Linked DNA regions of Sus scrofa. The protein of the gene in region 1 purifies or fractionates together with the protein of each later gene. This does not show direct contact. Links are inferred from orthologs where the notes say so. Each region holds a gene or a part of one and is shown in the gene's direction. Other genes may lie near its edges.

Region 1 (4,006 bases):
AAGATGAGGGGATTCGCCTCAAGAGCACAGCTGTATTTTATTCACAGCACCTCAGCTGGGAAGCTTTGACATGGCAACACACAGCATTTGCCAATGAGGGAAAAACATGTTCTCAAACAAGACAATCTCTTATTATAAGTAAATATCAAGAGACAAAAGAGACAGTTTCTAAGCCAATGTTTAATGGTTGCAATTCCGGCAAACTCTTCTCTGATGTCTTTGTGCCTTTGCACAAGCTGTTTCTCTTTTCTTGGTATTTCTTTAACATAATGTAATGGACAAGTCGAGTCAAATATATCTGTGTTCAAATCCTCTACCACCTATCATCTCTGTAGTATCAGGCAAATTAATTAACTCCTCTGCACCTGTTTTCCGCACTGGAAAGTAGAATTCGACTACGACTCAGTTTAAGGGGATGTTGGTGAGGATTAAGTAAGATAATTATGTAAAATGGCCAGAACAATTCTTTATACATATAGTAAGCCCTCCTTAAATGTTAGGTCTGTCTGGCTAACTTCCATTCAAATGCTACTGCTCCTCGGAAGAAGTCCCTTAAACATTTCAACCGTGGCTTCAGTTTTCACAGCGCGATTAAAACACTTAGCACCCGATAATCAGTTCTTTGCTCACAGCTCCCACCCCTTTCCCTAAAAAGAGCTCTAAAAGGCCAGTCATTGTCCCCTCCTTGGGATCTCCTAGGGGTTGGCCAAACTCAGCTCCTAACAGGCATTCCAGAAGTGTTTTTGTTTTGGCCGATTCGCTTAACGGATTGGGCGGGAGGAGGGCGGGCGAAAGCGAGGGCGACGCCCGCGGAGGAGAGGGGCGTGCCGGCCCAGGGTGCGCTCGCCCGATATTCCCCGCGGGCTCGAGCCGGGCCCCAGATCCACCCGCAGATTGAGGTGGGGCCCGCTCTCACCCACCAGGCTGGGTAGCGCCCGGTTACCGGCACCCAAGCCTGGAGGGGCGAGTTTCGGCGCGAGGCAGGTTCAGGCGGCGGCGGCTGCCTCAGGGAGCGCGCCTGGATCTCCAGGCCCGGGTTCCCCGCCCGACCGCGCGCCCTCGCCCCGCGCCCCGCTCGGCGCCCCGGTGCCCTCCAAACGCCAGCGGGCCCGGGAGCCTCGCGGACGTGACGCCGCGGGCGGAAGTGACGTTTTCCCGCGGTTGGACGCGGCGCTCGGTTGCCGGGCGGGGGAGGGCTCGTCCGGTTTTTCTCAGGGGACGTTCAAATTATTTTTGTAACGGGAGTCGGGAGAGGACGGGGCGTGCCCTGACGTGCGCGTGTCCTCCTGCCCCGGCCCTCCTTCAGCGCTCGCCGGCACCGGCCCTGGGAGGGCGTCATGCCGCCCAAAACCCCCCGGAGAGCAGCCGCCGCCGCCGCCGCCGCCGCCGCTGCTGCTGCGGAGCCCCCGCCGCCGCCGCCGCCGCCGCCGCCACCGCCGCCACCGCAGCCTGAGGAGGACCCCGAGCAGGACAGCGGCCCCGAGGACCTGCCTCTGGTCAGGTGAGCGAGCCGACCCGTCGCGGCGGCCAGCGCGCGGGAAGGGCGCCCCGGGGGTGCGTCGGCGGGCGCCGCGGCGTCTAGGCGGGGGCGCGTCTCCGCCCGGGCCGGGTCCCGGCGGGAGGAGGGTCCTCCCCGGCCCCCCGCGGCGGCGGAGCGCCGGGAGGAGGCTGACAGGGGTCTGGGGTCGGGAACGAGGGGAGGGCGGCCGGGAGGGGTTTCGGCTCCCGCTTGACAGGTGTCGAGCGGGTGGGGCTCGGGTCGCTGAGCGAAGTGACAGGTGCCGCCTTTCCTCCGCGAGACGGGAGCCTCGCAGGCGGCGGGTCGTTTGCAGACCCCATCAAATGCAGAAGAAAGAAAAAAAGAAAAGAAAGACTAGATTGCTGGAGAGGTTTTTCCCCATTTGAGATTTGTAGTCCTCCGGTGGTCTTTCGACTTTCTGTTTTGGTCTCCCGCGGTGCAACATTTGGAAGTGTTTTCCTCTGGGCGTGCGACTCATCTGAAGCCCAGTCCTGGGAGAGGCCAGCCAGGAAAACCTTGGATACTGCTGCAGAGATGCCACCGGACGTGAAGTGCAGGGTTCTGGGTGGCAGTTGCCCCTCCGGGAGCTCGGCTGGGGTGCTTTTCGGGGTTCCCTTGTAAAGAGTGCTTTGAGTTCTAAGCCTTCGGTAGTGACTGGTGGAACATAGCTCTCTAAGAGGAACTTGTTGTATCGGTAAAAGTTTTGTGAGACATTTAGCTCAAGAGCTTCGAAGTTTCTGAACGTTCTCATTTTTCTTGTTGCATAAAACTCTTCTTGCATGATAGTCTGCTTCAGGCTGCCTCTTTTTTTCTTCCATTTTGCCTTTTGGCTTTGAGCCAGCAAGGATCTTGGTGTCTCTTTTGTATTTGTTTGGGAACAAGATTAGTGTTCTTGTGCTCACATAAAATTAATTTTCCCCCCAGGTGGATTCTAAATTTCAGCGAGTCCATGATAATATAGGGAGATAGTTATTGCAGCATCTTATTTTTCTTGATTGTGATGCTTTACGGTTTAGAAGCCAAGATCGAAAGAGTGTAATTGTCATTATCATTGTTAGCACTGGCCCTCCTTTGAGACTACGCATCAATTGCCAGGGGATGGGACTCTGCTGATCCTCACCACTCTTTCCTGCAGTTCTGATCCGTCAGCAAGTCCTATTTCTTTCACCGCCCTAGGACACATTGTTAGGGACTGAAGTGGGCTTTTGGAAATACCAGAACAGCACACAGTCTTCATTCTTGAGATAACCAAAAGTTAATTGTGTTTCAAAGGAGGTTTGGCAGTCTGGAATAGGGTCAGGGGCATGGATTAGAGAGTTAGATTACTGGGTTTATATTAGAGCTTCCCACTTACTCGCTGTGATCTCAGGTGAGTGCTTTAACTTCTCTGATTTGTGATCATCAGAGTACTTACCTGTTAGGGCTTATGTATGTATTAAACCATGCATCTAAACCCCATCAATTCATTTAAATCCTGTTCATATGGAGCATAGTAAATACTAAAAAATTATTAGCTGTTCCTTGTACTATACTATTCTTATGTCAAATAGATATTAAGTGAATGAATAAGAATTAGCCAACAAGAATTTTTTGACTGCCTATCTTGGTTAAGGAAGATCAAGGAGAAAAGGCTGAAATAAGCATATCAATAATTTAATCATATAAGAAACACTAGTAGTAGGTAGAGAGATTAAATGAATCGTTGTTGAGAGTGGACTGCATTTTAGCAAAGTCACCGATACTGAATTGGTTCTGTAATGTTATCTATGGCTTTCCTTTTCTGTTACTGTCCCAATTTTTCCTAACAGCTGTAGCTATTGTACTTGCTTTTCTTCCCAAAGCTATGTTGCTGCACTGAAGTTCCTATGATTTACCAGGCCAGCAAACATTTTTCACTATGTGGTACTCTTATTTTGGAAATACTGAAAAGATCAACATACGTTTAAATTCTAAGTGTAATTTTTTAAGCGATAGTTAAGATCCCAAAGTATTTGGTGATGTCTTTCAGAATAGTGCTATATTATATGCAAACCAGTGAAACCAATGCTTACGTAATTAATTTGATTATAAAAGTGCCTTTTATATTATATTTTCATTTGGTAGGCTTGCATTTGAAGAAACTGAAGAACCTGATTTTACTACATTATGTCAGAAATTAAAGATAGCAGATCATGTCAGAGAAAGAGCTTGGTTAACTTGGGAGAAGGTTTCATCTGTGGATGGAGTATTGGTAAGGATTGTCTTAAAATTTTTTGAAAATATTTTTCTCATTTTAAAAATTATTTTAAATCACCATAGAAAATTTGGAAAATAGAAAAATATAAACTAAAGCTAGGAACAAGTCTATTATTCAGAGGTAACTTACTTCTGATAAAACTAAAAATTAAGGAAAAAAACTCCCTATGTTAGCTCCCCACCAAAAGCATTTTAAAACAACTCATAAATATCATATTTTATTTGTAAATACTTCATTGTGCCATAAAGACT
Region 2 (3,500 bases), on another chromosome or scaffold:
GACCCAAGTAATGTTTGGTAATGAATGGTATCGACAGTGATGGTTTTGGGTAGTGACTTTTGGACACACTTTTAGGCCTAGAATATACTGGTGTCCCTTCTGTTTCGTGCATTTTCAAAAAGTAAATGTTTACTTTCCAGGGAGATAGCACCCAGCCATTTAAAAATAATAATTGTAACCAAACTTCAGTAAGGCCCAGAACCTAAAATAAACCACCTTAGAATAAGGCTATTGAAATGTAGAAAATAAACTCATCACTGCTGGGGGAGAAGATGGAGCAAGCCGAAGAAAGATTCCAACTTTAGTTTTTAAAACTAGTATCCGTTCTATGAGCAGATCAAAGACTTCAGTTGCCTAAGGTTTTTGTAACTGTGGGTTCTGCCTTATTTAAAAAGCGGTAGTAGGGACCAGGTCATGGAGATGTAGTTCCCTCGTCCCCTGAGACCTCGCCCTGGAAATGACCTTGCATCTTCTTTTGGTCTGACAGTGGGCCCCAGGGACTGGGGGCTCGCACCCTGCAGGCTGGCCCTACATCTGCCCTCTGCAGAGGGTCCAGGGGGAATTCACTGCCTACCCTTCCTGCCTTGTGGACAGTAGCTCCTCTTAAGCTAACTGGGCCATAGTTTCATGTTGATGGCAGAGCCATAGAGAGAAAGAAATTTCTGTGTGCAAGTCCATTTTCAAGCCTGTGCATTATTTCTGCCAACATCCCATTGGCCAAAGCAAATTACAAATCAAATGGTAGGGATGTAGGAGCAAAGAGAGAACTGTGACTTTTTTTGCCATCTATTACAATGATTACATTGAAATGTCGTTTTGTGCCAGAGGAAGCTATGGCCTCAAAATCCTGACAATGGTCTTGTAGGCAGACGGTGAACTGCCCCAGACAAGCATTCCACACAGTTGCTTGGGGGAGCAGTTCCAAATGATCTGCGACTACAGTGGCATCGTTAGAAGGAAGGGTCTGGCCTCTGAGGTGACTTTTGGGGCGGACAGTGCCCTCTTGGATGAAGGTTTTAGATGAGGGTTTCATCATGTGCTGGTTGGGTGGAACCAAGTCTGCCTTGAAAGTTTTACCTTGTGGTCCCCAAATGGAAAACAGTGGGGGGGCTGTGGTAGGAATTCCTTTTGTGGCTCAGGGGGTTAAGAACCTGACTAGTACCCATGAGGGTGCAGGTTCACTTCTTGGCCCTACTTAGTGGATTAAGGATCCTGCATTGCCACAACTTGCATGTAAGTCGAAGATGCAGCTCAGGTTTGATGTGGCTGGGGCATACGCTGGCAGCTGCAGCTCTGATTCGACCCCTAGCCTGGGAACTTCCATATGCTGCGGGTGCAGCCCTAGTAAGAAAAAGGGGAGGCGGGGGTCACTTTCTATGCCTTATGAGTAATGGTTATAACTAAAAGTAGCGAGATTCAGTGTAAAGATTCAGGCCTTGGTATATCTTAGAATCAGTTTCCTCATCTGGAAGATGTCAGGTGGGCAGAGGTTGGGCCAGGTTCCAGACTCTGCCCTCAGGATGCTTAGAAGTTCTGTGAAGGATCTCAGGTGAGGGCAGACCTGTTGGGGCTTAGGGCTCAGGACTCAGTCCCATGCATCCAGCCAGAGCAATGCTGCTTTCATCTGTTATATAAATAGTGGCTGTCCCAGAAGATGTCATTTGAAGAAAGGGTTCTGTGGCTTTATAAAATTTGCATATTTCTGGGCTAGACAATCTAAGAAGTGTATTTCATGCTAAGCTCTCAGGAGTCTGTGTTAGATAAATGAAAACAAGTCCACTTGGTGTCACTTTCTCTGTATTACTCACTCTATGAGTTGTGGGTGCACTGGCTTCTCCCAGATCTGTAAGATCCTGCTTTAGTGGGTGGTGGAAGCCATGGGCCCTATTATTTACATTAGGATACGTTAGACACCATTTAAGAGTATATTTTTCCCTTGAAATTTATTGAGTTGGATCGTTCTAATCTTTCTTCTTAAATATTTAATTTTAATTAACCCAGAGGTGAAAGGCCTCTTTAAATGCTCTCATTTTAAACTATATTTTAAGCGTATTCATCATAATCCATTTAGTTCCACCTCCTTTATCCACATGAAATGACTAAATGTATGTTTTTATTGATCATCACAGCAAATTGCTTTCAAAAACCTGGTACAGAGAAATCGGCAAAATGAACAGCAGAACCAGGGCCCTCCAGCTCTGAACTCCACCATCCAGCTGCCGTTTATAATCATCAACACAAGCAGAAAAACAGTCATAGATTGCAGCATCTCCAGTGACAAGTAAGTGGGGAACGAGCAGCAGAGTGCAGGGCTCACCTTCTAACGTTATGCCGAACAATTGCAAAATTAAGAGGGTTGTGCTCCAAGGCTGACTTCCTCAAGGCATATGAAACGGCTTTGCAGACATGGGGTGCCGTCACCTGCTAGTGCTTGCTCTGTCATTCACCCTCCGCAACCCCCTCTCTTGGGCCTGGCCCTGTGCTGCCTTTGTCATATGCATGGTGGTGCCCATGTATGTACATGTAGGTGGTGTAACTCTGGGCAGGTAAAGTAGAGCATCACTCAGGTAGGTTCGCTGGTGATTCACTGTCGTAGTTGATGCTGAGAATGGTTTAGATCAATGCTGCACTAAAGCAGTTGTTTTCCTTTGCTGTGTCAGAGTTGAGTGTGCTTCTCTTTATGATGAACGAACAGATGTGAAAATGCTAGATGTGTTCTCTGCTTTCTTTCTTATTTATCTCATCCTGTGAAGTCTGTACCTTTTGACCATCTTCATTCATTTCACTCACCCCCCATGTCTGGCAGGTTACCAGTCTGTTCTCTGCATCTGTGAGTTTGGTTTTGTTTTTTTTGTTTGTTTGTTTGTTTGTTTTTTTTGGTCTTTTCTAGGGCCACTCCCGTGGCACATGGAGGTTCCCAGGCTAGGGGTCTAATCGGAGCTGTAGCTGCCAGCCTATGCCAGAGCCACAGCAACGCGGGATCCGAGCCACGTCTGCAACCTACACCACAGCTCACGGCAACGCCAGATCTTTTAACCCACTGAGCAAAGGCAGGGATCGAACCCACAACCTCATGGTTCCTAGTCGGATTCGTTAACCACTGCGCCACGATGGGAACTCCTGAGTTTGGTTTTGGTTTTAGTTTTTGTTTTTTTAAGATTCCACTTATGAGATCGTACACTATTTGTTTTTCTCTTTTTGTCTCACTTAGCGTAATACTCTCAAGGGGCATCCATGTTGTTGCAAATGGCAGGATTTCCTTCTTTTTTTATGGCTGAATGACCCATTGTGTGTATACCCCACATTTTCTTTATCCATTCATCTGATGGTGGACACAGATTGTTTCCATGCCTCGGCTGTTGGAAATGATGCTGTAGGCAGTAAACATGGGAATGCAGGTTATCTGCTCAGGATTGTGATTTCCTTCAGATACATACCCAGAGGTGGGATTGCTGGGTCATTTTAATTTTTTGAGGAACCTCCATACTGTTTTCCCGAGC
Region 3 (3,500 bases), on another chromosome or scaffold:
AAAAAAAAAAAAAAGATAATTGAACTGACCACAAAGTGCAAAAAGGCAGATATACTCTGATCTTTTTGGCCAGCCCTGCATGGCTAGACATCATCACCATCACTCATTTCTCTCTCAGTCAGCAAGACAGCTCTGTAGCCCCTTAAAACCGTAGAGAAACCAAGCTATTGGAAGTAAAGAGTGGGGCCTTCTGAGTTGTAGGGTTGCCGGAGTGAGGGTGCTGTTTCTGCGCACACTGGGTGAGGCTGGAACCGGAGGGAATGTGGTAACAGTGAAGACCTTGGTGAGTTTTAGAAAGTTTTGAGAAGTGATTTCTGGAAATGCTTTGCGAGTTTGGGAGTGAGGTGGTTAATCAGAAAATCAGCAGCCAGTTGTTTCAGAGAGAAAGGGTGCTGAGGAAAGCTCCTGTAACCAAAGTCCTTGGGAAGACACATGGGAGTGATTGCTTTGTTTTGTAGCCATTTAGAAGCCTCTAGAGGTCAGAAGTCTGGGAATGTAGAGCAGGAGAGGGGAGACTTAATACATGAATAGAAAGCACTGGGAGGAGTTCCCGTTGTGGCTCAGCAGTAACCTGATTAGTATCCATGAGGACACAGGTTCCATCCCTGGCCGCGCTCAGTGGGTTAAGGATCCGGTGTTGCCGTGAGCTGTGGTGTAGGTCGCAGGCGAGGCTTGGATCTGATGTTGCTATGGCTGTGGTTAGGCCAGCCGCTATAGCTTCCATTTGACCCCTAGTCTGGGAACTTCCATATGCCTTGGGTGCAGCCCTTAAAAAGCAAAAAAAAAAAAAAAAAAAAAAAAAAAGGCGCCAGGGATCTTTCAAGGGCATGATCATTTTGGTTAACGGGTGAAGGGATTTTTCTGACCCATCGTTTTCCTTCATTCCTAGTGGATGCTGGGCACAGAGCTGTCATCTTTGACCGGTTCCGTGGTGTGCAGGACATTGTTGTAGGGGAAGGGACGCACTTTCTCATCCCTTGGGTACAGAAGCCAATTATCTTTGACTGCCGCTCTCGACCACGTAACGTGCCAGTGATCACTGGTAGCAAAGGTGAGTCTTGTGTGTGGGTCAGGGCAAGTGGAGAGTCGGGGAGGCTACTGTGAGATCCAGAAGGGGTCGAACTTCACATTGTAAGAGTTCCTGGCATATCTTTCCTAAAGAGTTTTATGTGCCTTTATGCAGCATAGAAGGAAATAGGCAACCCTTCGAGATACCCCTGGTTTGGTCACAGACCACCACAGCGAGGCAGATGCTCTAATACAGTGAAATGCTTGACAGAGTTCCCTGGTGGCCGAGCAGGTTGAGGATCTGGTGTTGTCCCTGCTGTGGTTCAGGTCGCTGCGTGCCAGAGGTTCAGTAGCTGGCCCAGGAGCTTTTGTATGGTGCAGGCGCAGCCAAAAAAAAAAAAAAAAGAAAGAAAGAAAAAGTTACTGATGGAAGATAATGTGAGAAAAAGAATGTGTACATGTGTGTGTGTGACTGTGTCACTTTGCTGTACAGTAGAAATTGACAGAACACTGTAAAGCAACTATAATGGAAAAAGTAAAAGTCATTAAAAGTTTAAGATAAAGAAAGAAAACATTGTGGTTGGGGAGTCCCTGGTGGTCTAGTGGTTAGGACTTGGCGCTTTCACTGCTGCAGCCCAGGTTCCATCCCTGGTCTGGGAACTGAGATCCCACATCCCGCCACTGCAGGCTGTGGCCAAAAAAAACAAACAAGCAAACTTTATGGCTTAAAAATGCTGACCAGCCTTTGAGCCTTGGGTGAATTATCGAAGTAACATCACAGATCATTGATCACAGATCACTACAACAAATCCGGCAATGCTGGAAATTTTTGAAATACTGCAACAATTACCTAAATGTGACACAGACACAAAGCAGATACTTTTAGAAAAATGGCACAGATATGGAGTTCTCCTCGGGGCGTAGCAGCAACAAATCCAACTAGGAACCATGAGGTTTCAGGTTCGATCCCTGGCCTCGCTCAGTGGGTTAAGGATCCGGCGTTGCCGTGAGCCGTGGAGTAGGTCGCAGATGGGGCTCGAATCTGGCGTGGCTGTGGCTGTGGTGTAGGTTGGCAGCTACAGCTCCGATTGGACCCCTAGCCTGGGAACCTCCATATGCCGTGGGTGTGGCCCTAAACAAAAAAAAAAGAAAAGAAAAATGGCACAGATAGACTTGCTTGATCCAGAGTTGCCACACATCTTCAATTTGTAAAAAAATGCAGTGTCTGCAAAGCACAATAAAACGAGGCGTGCCTGTATACTGGAGATCCGCGCACAGAGCCGTACAAATTTAGAGAAATGCACGCAGATGTATTTCAAGAGTTACCCGGTGATCCAGGTTTACAGAAATCTAAATGCGCCTGTGCCCCCTCAGTTGACCCTTCCCAGTCGGTTCTCATTCCCCAGGGTGACTGTAAACTGATCTCCAGCCCGTCTGTTGGCCTTCACAGCTGACTTAGCCTTTGCCCTGCTTCCCAGGGCCTCTGCTTCCAGCAGTGCTGCACTCTCATGGCTTTCGCACAGGCCAAAGCCCACATCCCCAAGTCTGGTGCCTGGCGCACCACTGGCGTCCCAGTCGGAGCCTAAAATGAATGGCTGTTCTGGTTCTCCCCTCTTCCCACCCCCAGAGGTGCACGGGCGGTAAACGGAATGGCAGGTACAGGCTCAGGGGTGACGTTTCTGTGCAGCAAGGGGAGAGGGTTGAGGGGACGTCGCTGATCCTCAGCAGATGTTTGCTTTCTGTGGTGGTGCCAGGCCTGGGGCTGGGTCAGAGAGCGGGGGTTTAAAGACGACGGCAGCAGGCAGCAGGTGCCCTTAGGAGCTCGGTCTAGCTGGGAGGTGGTCCTGCGGACAGGCAGTTAGAGGGAAGCGTGGCGGGCACAGCCTGTGGGGAGAGCAGAGAGGAGCCCGCTTACGAGGCACATGCATCTGCTGGCACTTGAGAGGGAGATGTGTGGCGGGCTGAGGAGGGGACGCGGTGCATTGGTGTTGCATCGTCTGTCCTGTTGCCCCCCCCCCCCCCCCCCCCCGCCAGCCGGGGAGAGGAAGGAGCCTTGTAAAGGGTCCGGCTTAGCAACCGCGTCAGAGGACCTCAGTGGTGGGGTGTGGTTAATCAAGAAAAATCCTATTTTATCTTACAGGCCTGGTTCTCAGTGTTCGCTCTCTCCGGGAGTGCTCTCTCTCTCTACCGTTTAGTGGTTACACGGTGCGCCTCAAGGGTACACTGTGCACCTCTCTTCAGAACTTGATGGGAACCGCAGAGATCAGGGACTCGTGTGTGAACATGTCCCACATCTGGTGCCTGGTTCAGAGCTGCTCTCCCGGGCGCTTGGTCCATACTGCTGTGACCACGAGCAAGCTCTGAGCACTTTAGCGCCAAGCAGGCCTGGGTTGTCAAGGGGAAGTTTTAGTTCCCTTCCCGGATTCCTTTGACCGGGCCAAGTAATTAGAACTGGCCTCTTGATGCGTCTGATAACCCCTTCCATCTGGTGC

What was found. The genes of interacting proteins can lie anywhere in the genome.
Region 2: the proteins of RB1 (region 1) and TFDP2 purify together in Homo sapiens (affinity purification with mass spectrometry; 4 studies listed by BioGRID and IntAct, counting the BioPlex papers as one, with this or other methods). This does not show direct contact. The link is inferred for Sus scrofa from reciprocal best matches to the Homo sapiens genes RB1 and TFDP2.
Region 3: the proteins of RB1 (region 1) and PHB purify together in Homo sapiens (affinity purification with western blotting; 3 studies listed by BioGRID). This does not show direct contact. The link is inferred for Sus scrofa from reciprocal best matches to the Homo sapiens genes RB1 and PHB1.

The regions. Positions count from the first base shown.
Region 1 is NC_010453.5:19,314,836-19,318,841, reverse strand, and holds the start of RB1 (retinoblastoma-associated protein), read left to right. Parts: upstream 1-1,206; 5' UTR 1,207-1,337; coding exon 1,338-1,501; intron 1,502-3,622; coding exon 3,623-3,749; intron 3,750-4,006. UniProt on the Homo sapiens protein: Tumor suppressor that is a key regulator of the G1/S transition of the cell cycle. The hypophosphorylated form binds transcription regulators of the E2F family, preventing transcription of E2F-responsive genes.
Region 2 is NC_010455.5:82,766,791-82,770,290, reverse strand, and holds part of TFDP2 (transcription factor Dp-2), read left to right. Parts: intron 1-2,129; coding exon 2,130-2,281; intron 2,282-3,500. UniProt on the Homo sapiens protein: Can stimulate E2F-dependent transcription.
Region 3 is NC_010454.4:25,603,194-25,606,693, reverse strand, and holds part of PHB (prohibitin), read left to right. Parts: intron 1-889; coding exon 890-1,051; intron 1,052-3,500.